Linked DNA regions of Cricetulus griseus. The protein of the gene in region 1 interacts with the protein of each later gene in a pairwise test. Links are inferred from orthologs where the notes say so. Each region holds a gene or a part of one and is shown on either strand. Other genes may lie near its edges. The genes, in order: Mapk9, beta-arrestin-2 and Shmt1.

Region 1 (5,974 bases):
TAAACTGACAAAAATTAAATAAGTAAGATTAAACATACATTGAAAAACTAAAACCAACTCAAACCACAGATGCAAATGGAGGCCAGTGGTAGAGCATTTGCCTTGTGTATGTAAGGTCCTGGATTCAATCCCCAGCACTGCCCAAAATTAAAAAAAAATAATGTGACAAAACAATGAACTGATCTTAGTTGCACACTTAATGTCACCATACAGAAAGATCAAGCACAGATGTTGAAACAAAGGGTTTAGTATAATCTTAAATATTCCCTACTCATCTAAAGCCAGAGAGAGATGTCATGAACTGATCATGCAAATCTCCTCGAAAGGCTGAAGAGATGGCTCTGTAGGTAAAGGCATTGGCCGAAAAGCCTGCTGCTGATGGACTCAGTGTATCCCAGGGTCCCACATGGTGGGAAAAAAGAGAACTGATTCTGGAAAGTTGTCCTCTGACTTCCAATATGAGCAGTGGCATCTCCCTTCCCCCAATAACTAGATGTAATAAAGAATACATCCTAATTTTATCAATAAAATGTAAGCTTTTTTTTTTTAGTGTACTGGATGGTTTTGTGTGTCAATTTGACACATTAGGGTCATCAGAGGAAGGAGCCTCAGTTGAAGAAATGACTCAACAAGATCCAGTTAGTTGTAAGGCATTTTCTCATTTAGTGATCAAAGGTGGAGGACTCAGTCCATGGTGGGTGATGCCATCCCTAGGCTGCTGGTTCTGGGTTCTATAAGAAAGAAGGCTGAGCAAGGCAGGGGAAGCAAGCTAGTAAGCAGCTCCTCTCCATGGCCTCTGCATCAGCTCCTACCTCCGGGATCCTGCCCTGTTTGAGTTCCTGTCCTGATGTCCTTCAGTAAATGAACGTAGTGTTGAAGTGTAAAGCAAATAAACCGTTTCCTCCCCAACTTGTTTTTTGGTTATATTGCTTCATCCCAGCAACAGAAACCCTAAGACATAGAGTCTCTCTCATCATTAGTTAATCTTCAGTCTGATCACACTACTAACATCAAAGCACATAGAAGGAGCACCTGTAACTTACATTTTTATGATTGACACACTTTAAGAGGACAAGTTCACGATAGGCTCTCTTTGCATGCGTTTGGTTCTGGAAAGGACGGCTTAACTTCTTGACAGCAACATTTATCCCAAGAACTGTATCAAAAGCAGCACTATAATTAGGAAATATAATAAACAATCTATTAAAATGGCCTTTGAAAATAGCAATGGAGAATATACATTCAATGTATTATCTTTCAAAGCAAATAATAGACAAGGAGAAATATTTCTGTTCTTCCCCAATCAAGCTTTATGTACTTATGGAAAGTGAAGTGGCTGAGCCAGCAGGAGAGACTAACCCCCACCTCACCCTGACACTACCCCCCACAAGGCACCATGACTTTCAGCTACAGTTCCAGTAGGATTTAGCAATTCTTTGTACATTGAATTTTCAGTTACTAAGATCAGCAGGTTCAGAAACAGTTAATTTAATCCAAAGCATGTAACACAAGTCAAGGAATGAAATTTTCAGTTTAAAGACGTCAAGAAATTGAAAACTTCCCTGTTATCACTGATTAAAATGCCAGTATATTTTGGAGTATCACTGCAGATTCTGTGGTTGAGCTCATGGAAGGAATTTAATAAATCTAAGTTTTGACCGTTTATGCTTTCCCAGGCCAAAGAATCTAAAAAGAAACAGTAGCCCAAGTCTCAGCTCATGGTAAATTCCCAAGACACAAAGTCCCAATGTAAGCACTTGCTATATATAAAATTCTGCAGGAAATGCTGCCTCCTTTTATAGTAAGAGGAAAACCTAAAGCTCCACTTTCCAGTTCTCACATCCCTTCATGGAATTTAGTGTTAATTTTTCTCCAGAAATTGAATGCAGAAAAGTGAGTGGCATGATGACACATCTTCAGGTTTCAGGCCAGCAGTACTCAGTGTCATCAGTGAGAGGCCTTCTGATGGCTCAACAGGGGCTCAAGGTTGCTAAAGACAACCTGTGAGCCCAGGCATCCCTTCAAGCCCTGCCTGTCTATCCTCTCTGCCTTTGTAATAGTATTTACTCTTATTCCTTTCTGTTAATACTTTCTGCTGAACAACTCTAACTTAATTTGATCTGTTTTTAAGTTAAAGGCTGGGCATGGTAGAACTTGCTAAGAAGAATCACTACATTTGTTTTACACACACACACACACACACACACACACACACACACACACACACACACACACACCCCAGTCATAGGTGAGCCCACATGCTCACAGGCAAATTTACTACTCATATGAATATATGATGATTAAGAAAATCCATTGTGAGAGAAATCATTAATGTGCCTGTGTGTACATATACACTTGTATTTCTTAGATTCACCTTTCTGATCTCAAAGGTTTTTGTCTGAATTTTCAGACAAACAGGAGTATGACTGTGTTCAAGGACTCTACAGAATAACATTGCCTTCAGTTAGTAACATCACTATACTGTGCTGTTTTTTCTTTACTTTTTCTTCTTTGAGTCAAGCTCTTTCTGTGTAGTATTGAATCTTGCTATGTAAATCATGCTGGCCTTGAACTCACAGAGATCCACCTACCCTTGCCTCTGGAGTACTGGGATTAAAGGTGTGCACTACCATTCCTTACTTGTACTATATTCTTTAAAACTGCTAAGAAAGTAGATGTTAAGTGTTCTCACTGCAGAAAACGTGAAACATGTATATGTAATTTAGCTGAATTTAGCGATTCTATAATGTATATGGATTTGGAAACACTATGTATAAGTATGTGTGTGTGTATGTATGTATGTACTGACTAGTTTTTTTTTTTTTTTTTTTTTTTTTTTTTTTTGCTGGCTTGACATAGGTAGAGTCATTTTGGAAGAAGGAATCTCAATTGAGAAAATTCCCCGTTATAGACTGGCTTGTGGGGCATTTTCTTGGTTAATGACTGATGTGGGAGGTCCAGCCCATTGTGGGTGCTGCTACCCCTGGGTAAGTTGTCTTACAAGAAAACAAACTGAACAAGCCAGGAGGAACAAGCCAATAAGCAGTACTCCCTACAGCCTCTGTTTCAGTTGCCTTTAGGTTCTTGTCCCAACTTCCCTGGATGATGAATTACAAACTGAAAGATGAATAAATCCTTTCTTTCTTCTATGTTGTTTTTGGTCATTGTGTTTTATCACAGCAATAGAAATCTATCTAAATCACTCCTGTTCCAGCTCTAATGACCTTCAGCTATCCATGTTTTCTGTCTTGAGATGACCTTTTAACTCAAAGGTAAAGACACTTCCTAGTATGAAACAAAGGGGTTAGTTACCTCCAACCTCTCCCAGCTTTGTTCTAATGGAATTTCAAGGTTTCCTTTGTAAGTGGGTTAACACACCTTATCTTGCTCTTCCCCCACAACACAAGGTGATCTTATGTTCCACCCTGCTCTCTTTCATCTCTTTACCTTCCTCCCTCTTCCTCCAAACCCCTGTCTTAAACACTCCTCATTTTAAACTGATAGCTAAGCCTCTGTGCTGCTTCTTCAAGCTGTCTATTATAAACACTGACAACCAACTGAAAGTAAATGTACACACGTAAATATTACTAGTTGCAGAGCTGGGATTACGCTTCATTTTCCAAAGATCACAAATCTCTTCTGCCAATTACACACACAAAATTAGAATGTCTGCTACGTGGAGGTCAGATGGGCTCTCTCTCTGTCCTTCCAGCCTATCAGCTGCTTGAGCACCCTGCCCTTCTGTTTTCTATGTAGATGATGCCTCTTTCTATACTTCCTTCAACAAGGTTTTAACAAACAACTTTTTCCTAAGAGAAGAAAGCTCATCTCCCAAAGCCCATCACTGGTACCATAACCTCCCACTCAGACATCTATGCTTGGAATGGATTCATACTTTCTTTGAAGGCATCTCAAAGCCTTCTTCACAGAACTTATCCTGGGATTCCATTTCTGGCCTCTTGTATTTAACTGCCTTCTTGTATTACATGGCCTTGAGTTGTCTTGATTGTTGAAGTGTGTCTTTAAAGACTGTCCCCAGACAACATACACTGAAGATAAATGACCTTACTCTGCCCTCATCTTTGACTGACAGTCTGTCTTCTAAGCCGAAAATCAATTTTCTCTTAGAACTTTAAGGCCACTGCTTTCCAGCTCTGAGTGTTGCTGGTGAGGGAGGCTTTCATCTGACAGTCACTCCTTTGCTTTGTTTTGGGTTTTGTTCCTCTGCTCAATAATATATCACAAAGAGCCATGCTCTGTTGGTGCCCCCAAAAGTCCCCTTAACAGCCCCTCCCAATTGTTATCATTTTTGTCCACCAAAGAAGAAAATAACTTCTGAGGTTATTTATAGTCCTGGTTGGTTATCCTGAAACTCACTGTCAACCAGTTTGTCTGGTCTTGAACTCAGAGATCCTCCTGCCTCTGCCTCCCAAGTGCTGGAATTAAAGGTGTGTACCACGAAGCTTGGCCTAACTTCTGATGTTCATGACAACAACTTTCTCAATTTCACAAACATGTGCCCTTATATACAACTCTATCACTTATATTTGCCTGTTTTTTTTTAGAAGTCTCTGACTTTTCACTCAACACTGTATTTATGACTCACCCACTAGTCTGATTATTATAATTCACTCTCTCGTTGCTGTAATATTCCTTTGTGTGACTGTCACATGACACTGATTGCCACTTTAGTTCTTTTCAGTTTTCAAGTGATGATAAGACTCACTGCCATCGACATTCATGTGCGTGGCACCATTCCTCCAAGCATGTATCTCTGACATGCACATAGCCAAGTGGGAAAGCATAGATTCTACTTTAGTAGATAAAGCCAGACTGTCTTCAGTGTCTGTGTCCATCAGCAGTGTGCCAAGAGTCCATGCCTGAGAGCTGTAGAGAGCTGTATATGAACATCTTCACCAACACTTGGTATCATGAACAACCTACTTTTTACCCTCTGGGCTGAGTGTATTTCACCATGTACATAAGAATGTTGTTTTAATTTACATTTTCTAATGAAGGATGGCCATCAGATAATAAATGTTGAATTATTTTAAACCATTAATCTGTGGTAATTGATTATGGAGCAATAAAAAATTAACACATCTCTCTTCTGAATCCCTACTCTTTAGTCTCTGAGGCTTCATTCTGGGTATTTTCTGCTGATGTATCTTCCACATTACCAATTCCCTCTTCAGTTACATCTAATATTAACAAATACTTTCTTGGGCTGGAAAGATGGCTCAGAGGTTAACAGCACTTGCTCTTTCAGAGGTCCTGAGTTCAATTCCCAGCAACCACATGGTGGCTCACAACCATCCGTTATGAGATCTGGTGCCCTCTTCTGCCGTGCAGATATACATGGAAGCAGAATGTTGTATACATAATAAAATCTAAAAAAAATAAATAAATAAAAATAAATAAATACTTTCTTTAAGTTTGTAATTCAATTACTATAGCTTTCACTTTCACTTCTATTTCCACTTAGTTCTCTTTTTAGAAGTTCTTGTTCTTCCACTTAAGTTTTCATCTTGTTTATCATCTTGAACACATCACCACAGCTATTTAAAACTTGGACTAACGATGCCAGGATCCCCTGCTGCCCTGACCCTTTTGTCCTGTCTCCTTGTGTGTCTAGCCATTTTTTTATTGTGTTACAACCCTGCGTTTATAAAGGTGCTGTAGAAATAATCTAAATCCAAGGAAATGCTATTCTCTTTCAGAATTTACACTTGCTTCTACTGGGCACATGGGGGTACTAACAGTTTAGACTCACCTCGGTAAAAGTTCAACAAGTGAATGATGACTGGATGCTGAGTGGCAGTGCCTCACTCAAGTTAACCCATTATTTCTAGGGTACAGCCTTTCAATGGCTTTAAAGCAGAGCAGAGGGAGTTTTCTGGGCCTGGTAGAAAGCCTCAGGGTCTAATTTCTATTCTCCAGCCACAAGGACTGTTCCAGCAGTCCCTTTCAGAAT
Region 2 (5,136 bases), about 20 Mb from region 1:
GCAGAGAGGGGGTGTGTGGGTGGGCACTAGAAGGAGCATCATTTCTCCTCTGGCCCTGCTTCAGTCCCTCTCTGTGGGGCTCAGGGGGTGGGGAGAGCTTACCTGACTGGGGTCTGGGAAGGGTGATATGGTCATGAGGCTTGGGGTGCATGAGAACGAACGGTAGCTCCACGGAGACATCCCTGGGGAGGGAGAAGGGCTGCATGAAGAGGACGGCTACCACAATCCCACGGAGCCACAGACAACCACGTGACCAGGCTTTCCCAGTGTACTCACCCGCCTCGAGACACCACCAGCTTCACCTTGACCCTGTAGGATACCAGGATTCCCAGAACCTCCTTGTTGGCTCCCTCTTTCACACTGCAATTGGGAGGAGGGGAGCTGGGTCAGGGATCCAGGGCTCCCACAGCATTAGCTGTGCAGTCATAGCAATGCGGGCTCATGGCATTCCTCTATGCAGAACCCTCCTGGGGCCTCATCTTTGCCAGGCACCAGGGTGCTTTGATCTGCAGCACTTGGTGTGCAGGTCCTCTCACCCACTTCTCTTTTTGTGGTCCCTTCTCACCATGTGGGCCTGTGTGGCGGTGTAGTGTGTACCCAGAGAAAAGGCACCACTGGGTGAGGCTCTGGCCTTCTGGGACCAGGGGTGCCCAAGGTCATACATAGTGACACATCACAATTCCTCATGCACCCTGGGGATCATCCCACCCGAGCCGCAAAGACTGCAGATCTATCTGCCTGGAGCCCTCTTGGCTTGCACACCCACAGGTCTCCTTCCTCTGGGCCCTTCAGTATTCACCCTTTCTGGCCAATCTATTTACAATCAACACAGCCTGACCCTTTCTGTACGTTATCCCTCCTGCTCTGCTTGCTTTTCCCACTTAACACTTGTTCCTAACATGCTATCTAGTTTACCACTTATCTGATTGTCTGTCTTCCCTCCCTTAGAATGTGAGAGGTTTTTGTCACTTCTGTTCACTGATACCTCCCTGGCACCCAGGACAGAGCCTGGCACACCGCCTGCACTGCACTGAACGGAAGCCTGTCCCCTGTCCCCCAGTCCACCAGCCCCGCCCTCACATGGTGCTAGAAGCCAGGTTGGTGTCTTCATGCTTGAGCTGCCCGTCCAGGGCAAGGCCACGCTTCTCCCGGTTGTCACTGAGCAGTGGGGTTATGGTGTACACCTTGCAGAACGTGGAACTGGGAGATACCTGGTCACTGGGGGTTGGGAACAAGGGAACAAGATTCTTGGAGAGACTGGACTGAGGGAGATTCATCATACCACCCTCAGGCGGTACTTCCTCCTTCTCTGTCCATCAGGGCAGATTACGAGGGGGTAGGTTCTGATGCAATCTGCTAACAGCCTGGAGCCCCCAGGCTGCAGAGGGACACCCTTAGAAGTGAGATAGGTTATAAGGAACTCTGCATTCTCATATTCTCCCCTAAGTTGGGTCCCACGGTTGTCCCATACTCACTCTTGCTCAAGCTGAGCCACAGGACACTTGTACTGCGCGGTGCTGAAGAGGCAAATGTCGGCATACTGTCTCACTGTGGGGTAGGGGACCAAGTGGCTTTGGGTGAAGTATAGACTACTACTGTACCACAACTCCAGACCACATGGTGTGAACCCCACTTGGGGGCAGCACACCCCCACCTCCTACCCCTGGCCAACAGCCCTCCTATAATAAACACTAGGGCTGGGCATCATCTGGGAACAGACTAAATTCTTTATGCCCTGGTAGTTCTCCCACACTGGGATATGGCCTGGGCTGAAATGGCAGCAGAAGCCCCTTGTAATCAGGGACTTCCTTCCCCACACCCATGTCCACCCCCACCTCCTACCAGAGACTCTAATCTTCTTGACGGTCTTGGCCGAGTTGTTGGTGACATGGACGTTGACATTGAGTGGCTCCCCGTGGTAATACAGCTTTTGAAGGGAGGGGATGACACAGTTTGCACTTGCTTCAGTGGCTCCAACTTGGGTACCTCTCTGATAGAGGCTGCTCTGCCCCACCTCCAACCCCAGTCCATAGCACCTCCACCCAAGTGAGGCAACCACCTTTAAAAAAAAAATCCCAAACCACCATCCTGCCTGTCGCTTCACCCCTCCCCCAGGCTCTGGCCTGCTTTGTGGCATCTCTGTCACTCTTTTACACCTCACCTCTTTGTCCAGGGAAGCCTCTAGGTGCAGGGACCTCCGGTCAGACATGAGGAAGTGGCGTGTGGTTTCTGCTGAGGGCTGGGGGCCAGGTATCTCTGGAGCAAACTGTACCTTTCTGATGATAAGTCGCACCGAGTTCCTGAGTCAGGGGGTGGAGCAGGGGAAGGGTTAGTTCCAAGACACTACAATTCAACTAAGATTCCTACCCCCAACAGGCGCCAGGGGCTCCATAAGGCTGGGAGGGAGTTGTTAAACCAGAGACAAAGTTTCTCTCACCTTTTGTGGCTTTTTTCTTCTAGAGATTTGGCACAGAAGGCACGAATCTCAAAGTCGACTCCACAGGCCTTGGAAGGGGGAGGAAAGGCCACCTCTTACCCAAGGCTCCTGTTGCCACTTCCAACACACCCCTTCCTTCCTACTTGCTTCATTCCCCTTAAGTGTGAACTTTTGCCCCATCTCGGAAACACGGACTCTCTTGCCCCACTGTCTCCTAGTCTGGCACCTTACAGAGGCTGGCTCATGGCAGTGCATGGAGGAACCCCCATACCCAGGTACATGTTCCAGATGCAGTGACCACACCATGCACACCCATGTCCATGGGGACACCTCCTTGTCTTCAGGACCCCCCTAAACTTCACCCTCTGGTTCAGTTGTGTTTTGTGCTTCTGCTGAGCCCAGTTCTGTTCACACACTGTGATAGCTGTCCCTCCCTTACCTTCCCTGTGTCCTCTGGTCCTGGCTGCAGTGTGACAGAGCAAGGCAAATTCTGGGGTAACTGTGGCAGAGAAAAGGAGGGGTTTCAGTCCCTGGTAACAGGTGCCTCATCCCATGTCAATCCTGCAGCCCCCCCCCCCCCCACTCCTCGGAGAAAAGGGAGCATCCTCACTGTGAAAAAAAAGGGATGGGCATGCTGGCCCAACTTCTTCAGCAGTCGGTCCTGTAGCCGGGTGGGGGGCCGGGGTGGGTTGGGCATGGGGGGAAAGGCTTGGTAGGTGGCAATGAACAGATCTTTGCGGAAAGACAGGCCCAGTACATCCAGGTCTTCTCGGCCATAGCGGAAGGCGCAGGTGAGGGTAACAAACACTGGAAAGCGAGGGCAAGGTGGGATGATCAAGAGACATCCTTCATGTCGCCCACATCCTTCCTCAGCACGACAGACTTCCCTGAATCCTACCCCCTGCTTCTGCCTCAGCCTTCCATCTGTCTGGGACACCCTACCAATGCCAACCCATCGAATTCCTTCTTCTTCCTGCCTCCCCTCCAGCTCCTGGACTTGGGTCTAGTACCTTTGCGGTCCTTCAAGTAGTCAGGATCCACGAGCACCACGCCATCTAGGAAAGGGAGACGTGGATTCATTTTCTGAAGGCGGCCTTTCCCCATCCCCAGAACCAGGAACCTCCTCCCTCCTGGGGGGATGAGCTACCCCCTTCTAGGCAAACTCACCCACAGGATCCACTTTGTCCAGGTGGTCTACAAAGTCGCGCTTGCCCAAGTACACGGTGAGCTGAGGATGTCAAGGGTCACAGGCAAAATTGGGGAGGATGGTGGCAAGCCACCAGAGCCCTCAAAGATGGCGGCCCTGTCCTGGGCTCCCCTTGGCTGGGTTATCAGGAAGGAGTTTCTCCCAGTGTTATTGGAAGGTGAGAGTGGTAGGGCTTTCCAGACTATTCAGTAAAGCTTTCATTTAGGCTTTTGTCTGCTCCTCTGGTCACTTTTCATACCGCTGTCCACCAAGCAAGGACAGAGGTGTATGTGTGTATATGTGTGTGTTCCCATGTCTTCAGGGAGCACTCAGTCAGACCAGGCAGTTAGCAGCTCTCCCCACAAAGGGCTCTGCAATAAACAGGCCACAGCCTGGGGAACTATTAACTTTTCCTAGTCCCAAGTACCCTGGGTTGGTTCCTAAGAGAATTACAAGCTTGCTTAGGAACCTAGCCTGGTCCCCACCCAGCCCTGTGGCTTCTTCAGACTGTGGCAAGGGGCTTAAGGAGGGAAGGAAGTCTGCTTTTAGCTGTCACAGGAAGTGGGGAGCTAAGGGTTGGGGATCAGCTGGGGGTAGGTTGGGCTTTGATAGGGCCCAGGAAGGATCGAAGCATAAGCACTGTGGGTGACTCACCTTGCAGTTAGGGCTCGACTTCTTGAAGACCCTAACAAAACAGAAAGGGAGACCCCACTGCCTCCCTTAGACTCAGCAGGGACCACCACACCAGGACTTATCCCTCCCTAGCCCAAGAAGTGGAATTCACCCTGGATCCCTGGTCTACCCTTCCCACTTTTTTTTTTTTTTAACAAAGTCCCAGTATTTTCCACATGGCAGCCCCTTGAAGCCAACTGTCAGGGCAAACACTTGCTCCTTTGATTTGATCCACCTCTACAGTAATGGCCACTGGTTGCTCCAGGAACCATCTAGACTCTCCCGAGGGCACCGTCCCCAGAAGAAGATGGGAACTAGATGGCTATCCAATGTCTGGGTCAGACCTAACACACTTTTCTTTTGAGACCGGGATTTAACTATGTAACCCTGGCTGGCCTGGAACTTGATATGTAGACCAGGTTGGCCCCAACTCTGAGATCCACCTGCCTCTGCATCCCTGATGGTGAGATGAAAGGCGTGAACCACCACCCTCAGTTAAACTAGCCACTTTTCAAATGACCTCTAGCTTCGAGGACACCTGGAGCAGTGCCTTGACTTTACCCCTCAGTTTCTACTGAAGGCACTGCCCACATCTGCTTATTTCATGAACCTCCAACATCCCCATCTCTGACCTCAGAATCTTAAAAAAAATGCATTTGTCGGTCAAGGCCTAACTCAGACATCATCTCCGTCAGATTGAAGACTCGGCCTCGACTTTAACCGCCAGCACAATAACACTCCCTCCTCCCTGTTCCTTTCCCATCTTGTTTATATTTTACTTGTGATTTCACAAAGGCTGACAGCTGTGACCCCTGGGATCTTGTACATTGAGGTGTCCCAA
Region 3 (5,974 bases), about 10 Mb from region 1:
CCAAGCAAGATGGCAAAGGTCCTCCAAGGCCACAGAACCTGGGAGACTAAAGTGGGACCTAACTAGGACTTGCCCTCAATAGGGAGGGGTGGGCTAAGGCAATAAGATCCCACCAGTGTAATACACACCGGAGGGCTAGTTTATCTGCTTCTCCAAAGCTATGGCTACATAACTATTGATACAACTTTCACCATTGTAGCAGCTAGAGATTCAGGGGAAAAATGCAGAAGTAGGATGTAAGGTAGTGAGAAGAGAAATAACTTACTAAAATGATGAAACTTATACAGAGGTTATTTGTTTCTGTTTTATGCATGAAACATGAGTCTGAATTACCTAGCACTGGCGGACCTAGAACTTAACTTCAGTAATCTGCCCCTAAACTTTCAGCTGTCTCCTGCCTATGCCTTCCAAGGTGCTGGGATTACAGATGCATGCATGCAACCATGCATGCCTCCTGTATCAATGTTTTATAGCTTAATTCTTGTTGCATGACAGTGTGTTAGTCTCATTGTCACCCTCCGCCTTTCCTTTGACAAAGTCTCGGGATGGCCTCAAATTCCTATCTTCCTGTTTCATCTTAAGAGCTGGGATTACCCACTTCCAGCACACATTAGTCTTTCCTTATGAGGGCATGGAGATGGCTCAGCAGATAAAAGTGCTTGATGTACAAACCTGTCAACTTGAGTTCAACCCCGGCATCCCACAATGGAAGGAGAGAAACAACTCTCAAAAGTTGTCTTCTGACCTCGACATTTTGGTGTGTGAGTATCCCCATCAATAATAGCATTAAAAAAAAAAAAAATTCTCTTTGACAAATATGCTAGATCATAACAAGTTCATCAAAATAGCTGCATTCTAGAGCTACCCCACCCTTCCTCCTGTGTGGAGGGTCAGATGAGCAGGACACTGGCTAAGCCCCTTTCTGTCACACACACTGAGGCCAGAACTGTGGCTTGAGGCTTCTTACAAAGCCCATCACTACTCTTTCCTGATGAGCTCTTCAAGGTACAGAATCCTGATCTTTTCCAGAAGTCACAGTCCAGAGTATTATTCCTGGTTTCTTCCACCCTTTGCCTGTCCCACCAGGTGGGAACTTACCCTTTCTGTAGAATATCATACCAGCACGGCAGCCTCTCAGGGTTTTGTGGGTTGTGGTGGTCACCACATGGCAGTATTTAAAAGGGGAGGGTATCACACCAGCTGCCACCAGCCCACTAATGTGTGCCATGTCTGCCATGAGATATGCCCCATTATCATCAGCAATCTTTCGCAGACGTGCGTAGTCCAGGTTCCGAGAGTAGCAGCTGGTCCCTGAGACAGAGGAGACATGGTAGTGTCAAAGATTCCCAGGGCAGCTGATCTAGTCTCTGATGCACAGATGTGAAAGGAGACCCACCCCATCTTTGAGGACAGAGGTGCAATGTGGTCTGTAACCATCTCTGAGCTAAGTGTGGTAGTACACACCTTTAATCCCGGCACTGGGAAGGCAGAGGCCAGTGGATATACAATGAAACCATTTCAAAAACAATCAACCAATCAAACAAAATAAAACCACCCCTGTGCTTTTATACATGTTAAGAAAAGCCTAAGGCTTGAAGCACTGACCCACTAAGCACTACTGATGGCAAGCTGTTAAAAAGTCTTGTGTGAGAGGGACATGAACAATGTCTACCTTACCCTCATATGGTCAATAACAAAACCAAGTACAAGTTCACCGTGGGAAACCAGAGCTTATTGGGTTTGCTTTATGGGTGAGATTAGTGACAGAAGTGTAGGTGATCCAAATGCAGCTGTCCTGGAAAGTCCTGACCAGCATAGACGGCTCCTCCATAACAGAATTAAGAAAGCTCCCTTCCCCCAGGCTTCCCCAGACTAGATACTCTAGCCCCTTATGGAGGCCACATGCACTTAGGGCAGAACTGCAGATGGCTGGGGGAAGTAGCCTGACACTCATGTGAGGGTTCAATGGCCCTTCTGGCTCCCTCCTTTTAGGAGGGCAAATGTCAACCATCCACAGACCCAATCAAGATGGACCCTTGAAAGCAGGCACAGCTGACCTCATGAAGATGGCAGCAGTCTGGCTAGAAGAAAGGCTCTTTACAGTCCAAGACTTAAAAGGACAAAGTAATTCTGTCTCAAGTCCTGAGCTCTGCACAGTGAGCTGGAGGATGGGATATCTATCCATCTTTCTCTGTAGGACACAGAGGCCCTGCCCAGGAACCAGGCTGCTCCCCACTTGCCACTCACCTGCGACGATCAGCTTCGGGTGAAAGAGGCTGGCATTCTCCTCCAGCTGGTCATAGTTAATGTAGCCAGTGTCTGGGTACACCTGTCGGGAGCAGGAAGACACAGGCTTGGCTACTCCCTCTGGTCACACAGTGACCCCTGCTCACCCATTTGAGACAATTCAACCTGCCACAACACAGACCAGGACCAGGGGCAGGGCACTGGCTGAGGCAGAAGGATTGTCATGAGTTCAAAGTCAGCCTGGGTTACAGACTAAGATACCAACTAACCAAAATAATAAAGACAAGGGCTGGAGAAATTCTTCAGCAGATACAAGCATTTGCTGTTCTTGCAGAGGACCCAGATTTGGTTCCTAGCACCCACACACATGCACACTCCAGTTCCAAGAAATCAACACCCTCTTCTGACCTCTTCAGGCATCAGATACACACATACCTGTTACATATGTGTACACACACACACACACACACACACACACACACACACACACACACACACACAGAGGCAAATACTCATACAACCAAAACACACCACCTAGAAGCTGCTAGTATTGATGCTAGAGCTAGAGATAGGGACACTGCCTATTGATTTTGGTGTGCCACCAGCTGTTGCTAGGAGTCTGGCTATCTGATCTTTTCTCAGGCATAGCTTCCATCATGTCATATGGAAGCTATGCCTGAGCTTCCACTTTCTTGGCAGTGTGCCAAGAGCCTGGAGAATCTTTGGGGCAAGGAGGTGAGATCTAGTAGAAGGGGCTGCAGCAGTGCTGTGTAAATGAAATGACTTATCCCCGTGGGTGCCAACTCATAAGGAAAGCTCTGAGGAGATACACACTCCCTACCTTATAAGGCATAGATTCAAAGAAGATAGATGTAGCAGAGATTTTCTTCTTGTCTGTCATGAAGCCATGAGTCAAATGACCTCCATCTGGCAGGTCTAAGCCCATGATACGTCCATGGGGCTCAACCAGGGCAGTATATACAGCGAAGTTTGCAGGGGAGCCTGAAACAGGGACAAGAGAGAGGTCATGAGAATTTCTACCCATGAGACACAAAGTGGCATCCAGGAGCTTGGCTACTACACAATCATTCAGCAGGCTATCACCATGATTTTCCTGAGCCTTAGAAAGTCCCACTGATCCCAAGTCCCAGTGGAGAATGCTACTTGGGAGGGGAGTGCGGAGCCTAAGTAGGTCCAAGGGCAATAGAGATGGATGTACACATTCCTTGGCTTCTCTCTGTTATTTATGAGGAGCTTTTTTTTGGGGGGGGGGGGGTTTCGAGACAGGGTTTCTCTGTGGCTTTGGAGGCTGTCCTGGAACTAGCTCTTGTAGACCAGGCTGGTCTCGAACTTACAGAGATCCACCTGCCTCTGCCTCCCAAGTGCTGGGATTAAAGGCGTGCGCCACCAACGCCCGGCGAGAAGCTTTTTGTAGGACTTGACTTGGTGGCTGTAACACCATAGAGCAAGGCCTATGGAGCTACGCAGGGTCTACATGGATGCAATGATCACCTGAATAAGGCTGGACATTGACGCCCCAGCACCGAGGATCCAGATGATAGGCCTGCAATGCACGCTTCTGACACAGTGTCTCCAGCTCATCAATGAACTCGGTCCCACCATAATACCTGTAAAAGGAAGCATGGTCCACCATCCACGTTGGGCCCAGTCTCTGTGCCTAGCAGAGATCAAAGTTGCCTAGGGTGGGCAGAGTATGGGTAGATGGGTGGGGGAGGAGTCCTGGTGGTGCACACCTTTAAGCAATACTTGGCGGGCTGAAGCAGGAGGAGTTCCAGGCTGGCTGGTGCTATATACAAAGACCCTGTCCCAAGAAAAAAAAAGAGAGGGAAAAGAAACAAGGGTACCTCAGGACAGAACACATTGTATTCTTTGGAGGCTCTCCTTTTTCCTGTTCCCATTGGAACAAGCAGGTGCAAAAACCACTGTCAACTTCTATATTTTGTTTGTCTTATAATGACTGTGATAGATATATAGATAGATAGGACCGAGCTTATGCTATGCAGTGAGATTCTGAAATTCTGTCCCAACAAACAGGTTTCAATGTGGAGAGTGTCAAAGCCAGTGGCAGGAGACTTGCCTAGTGTGCATGAAGTCCTAAATTCAACTCCCAGCAAGCACCACCAAAGACAACAAAAAAAGATCAGGCATAGTGGTGCATGCCACTTGAGAAATAGAGGCAGGAGGAGCAACACAAGTGTGCAGCCAATCTGGTCCACACACCAAGTTGTATGACTACATAGTAAAACTCACAAAATACCCAAAGTTTCAAATTTTGAACCACTAGTTTCAGATATAGACTGCTTGAGCAAAGAATCAAGTAGAAAAATTAATGAAAAACACTTTTGATTGAAAGCATTTTAGAGGAGGTATATTGAGCCTGCAATACAGGGTTTTTGTTTTGTTTTTCCACTTCCTAGATGCAAAGGTTCTCAGAGCAATCCACTCTCTGTAACTTTCTCTCAGGACAATGACCTTTCCTAGAGCCTTGACTACATCTCTCATAGACAAGCCTGCTCATAACCACTTGAACCCAGAGGGACGAGGCCAGCCTATTCTACAAAGGTCTCATATAGGGACTGTTGAGTGTGACAGCTCTAAGAAAGATCACAAAATCCCACCCAAGCCGAGAACTGGAGGAGTCACATCACAGAGCAAGAAGGGAAGACAACTAGGAAGCTACAGGTTTTTGAAAGTTACATATTAGTTGAAAGCCAGGAATTGTAAATTAAAACCACATAGCACTTGGAAGGCTGAGGCAGGAGAATTAGGGCTAAAGGTCAGCCTGAACCACATAACAAGAAATAAAAACAAATGATCAAAGCAGGACTTTAAGAACACTCACTCACCTTTGGCCTGGATATCCCTCAGAGTATTTATTATTTAAGCAAGATCCCAGGGCCTCCAACACAGCTCTGCTGGCAAAATTCTCTGAGGCAATCAGCTCCAATCCAATCCTTTGCCGATTGTTCTCTTTTTTAATAATGTTGTAAACCTTATCAGAAGAAAACAGACATGAGGTTGGAGGGTAGCCCAGTTGCTAGAGGGTTTATCTAGCATTCATAATCCCTCGGGCTTGATCTCCAGTATTGAATAAATTGGGGAGGGTGGCACATGCCTGAAATCTCAGCCCTCAGGACGTAAAGTGGCAGAATCAGAAGCTTCAAGATCACCCTTGGCCGTACAGAGTTTAATTAGAAAAACAGCAACAAAAATAAACTTAAAACAAAATGAACAGGACCTGCTGGCAAGAATCTATAATCTCAACATCTGGGAGTAAAGGTGGATGACCAGAGGCTCAGGGTCACCCTCAGTCAGATAGCAAAACAAGGTGAAGTGAATGACCAGAGGCTCGGGTCACCCTTAGGTAGCAAAACAATGTGATTTAGGATCATGCCTAATTTTTATTGTTTGTTTGCTGAGATGGGCTCTCACTATGTGCCTTGGCCAGCCTGGAATATAGTCCCGGCTGGCTTCTAATTTAGTGATCTACTTGTCCCTCTGCAGCATTAAAGGTATGGCCACCACCAGCAGCTAATTTTTAATTCTATCCTTACATTTTACTAAGTTCTTATCTCTATAAACCTTATTCCAAAAAAATGTTTTAGCAAATACAGCAGAACAGAAACTCCACTAATGGTTGCCCATGGTTGGGAAATTGAGAGAGAATGGGGTAGTTGCTCATGGATTCCTTGGTATAAAAATGTTC

What was found.
Region 2: the proteins of Mapk9 (region 1) and beta-arrestin-2 interact in binary tests that used the Homo sapiens proteins (3 or more experiments, as listed by UniProt). The two-hybrid records come from large-scale screens. The link is inferred for Cricetulus griseus from reciprocal best matches to the Homo sapiens genes MAPK9 and ARRB2.
Region 3: the proteins of Mapk9 (region 1) and Shmt1 interact in binary tests that used the Homo sapiens proteins (3 or more experiments, as listed by UniProt). The two-hybrid records come from large-scale screens. The link is inferred for Cricetulus griseus from reciprocal best matches to the Homo sapiens genes MAPK9 and SHMT1.

The regions. Positions count from the first base shown.
Region 1 is NC_048600.1:64,323,484-64,329,457, reverse strand, and holds part of Mapk9 (mitogen-activated protein kinase 9), read right to left. Parts: intron 1,174-5,974; coding exon 1,044-1,173; intron 1-1,043. UniProt on the Homo sapiens protein: Serine/threonine-protein kinase involved in various processes such as cell proliferation, differentiation, migration, transformation and programmed cell death.
Region 2 is NC_048600.1:84,233,986-84,239,121, reverse strand, and holds part of beta-arrestin-2, read right to left. Parts: intron 4,309-5,136; coding exon 4,278-4,308; intron 3,666-4,277; coding exon 3,605-3,665; intron 3,493-3,604; coding exon 3,448-3,492; intron 3,245-3,447; coding exon 3,048-3,244; intron 2,937-3,047; coding exon 2,877-2,936; intron 2,506-2,876; coding exon 2,438-2,505; intron 2,301-2,437; coding exon 2,162-2,300; intron 1,928-2,161; coding exon 1,843-1,927; intron 1,549-1,842; coding exon 1,476-1,548; intron 1,219-1,475; coding exon 1,081-1,218; intron 361-1,080; coding exon 277-360; intron 183-276; coding exon 103-182; intron 1-102. UniProt on the Homo sapiens protein: Functions in regulating agonist-mediated G-protein coupled receptor (GPCR) signaling by mediating both receptor desensitization and resensitization processes.
Region 3 is NC_048600.1:74,800,524-74,806,497, forward strand, and holds part of Shmt1 (serine hydroxymethyltransferase, cytosolic), read right to left. Parts: intron 5,261-5,974; coding exon 5,115-5,260; intron 3,876-5,114; coding exon 3,760-3,875; intron 3,250-3,759; coding exon 3,089-3,249; intron 2,330-3,088; coding exon 2,248-2,329; intron 1,312-2,247; coding exon 1,099-1,311; intron 1-1,098. UniProt on the Homo sapiens protein: Interconversion of serine and glycine.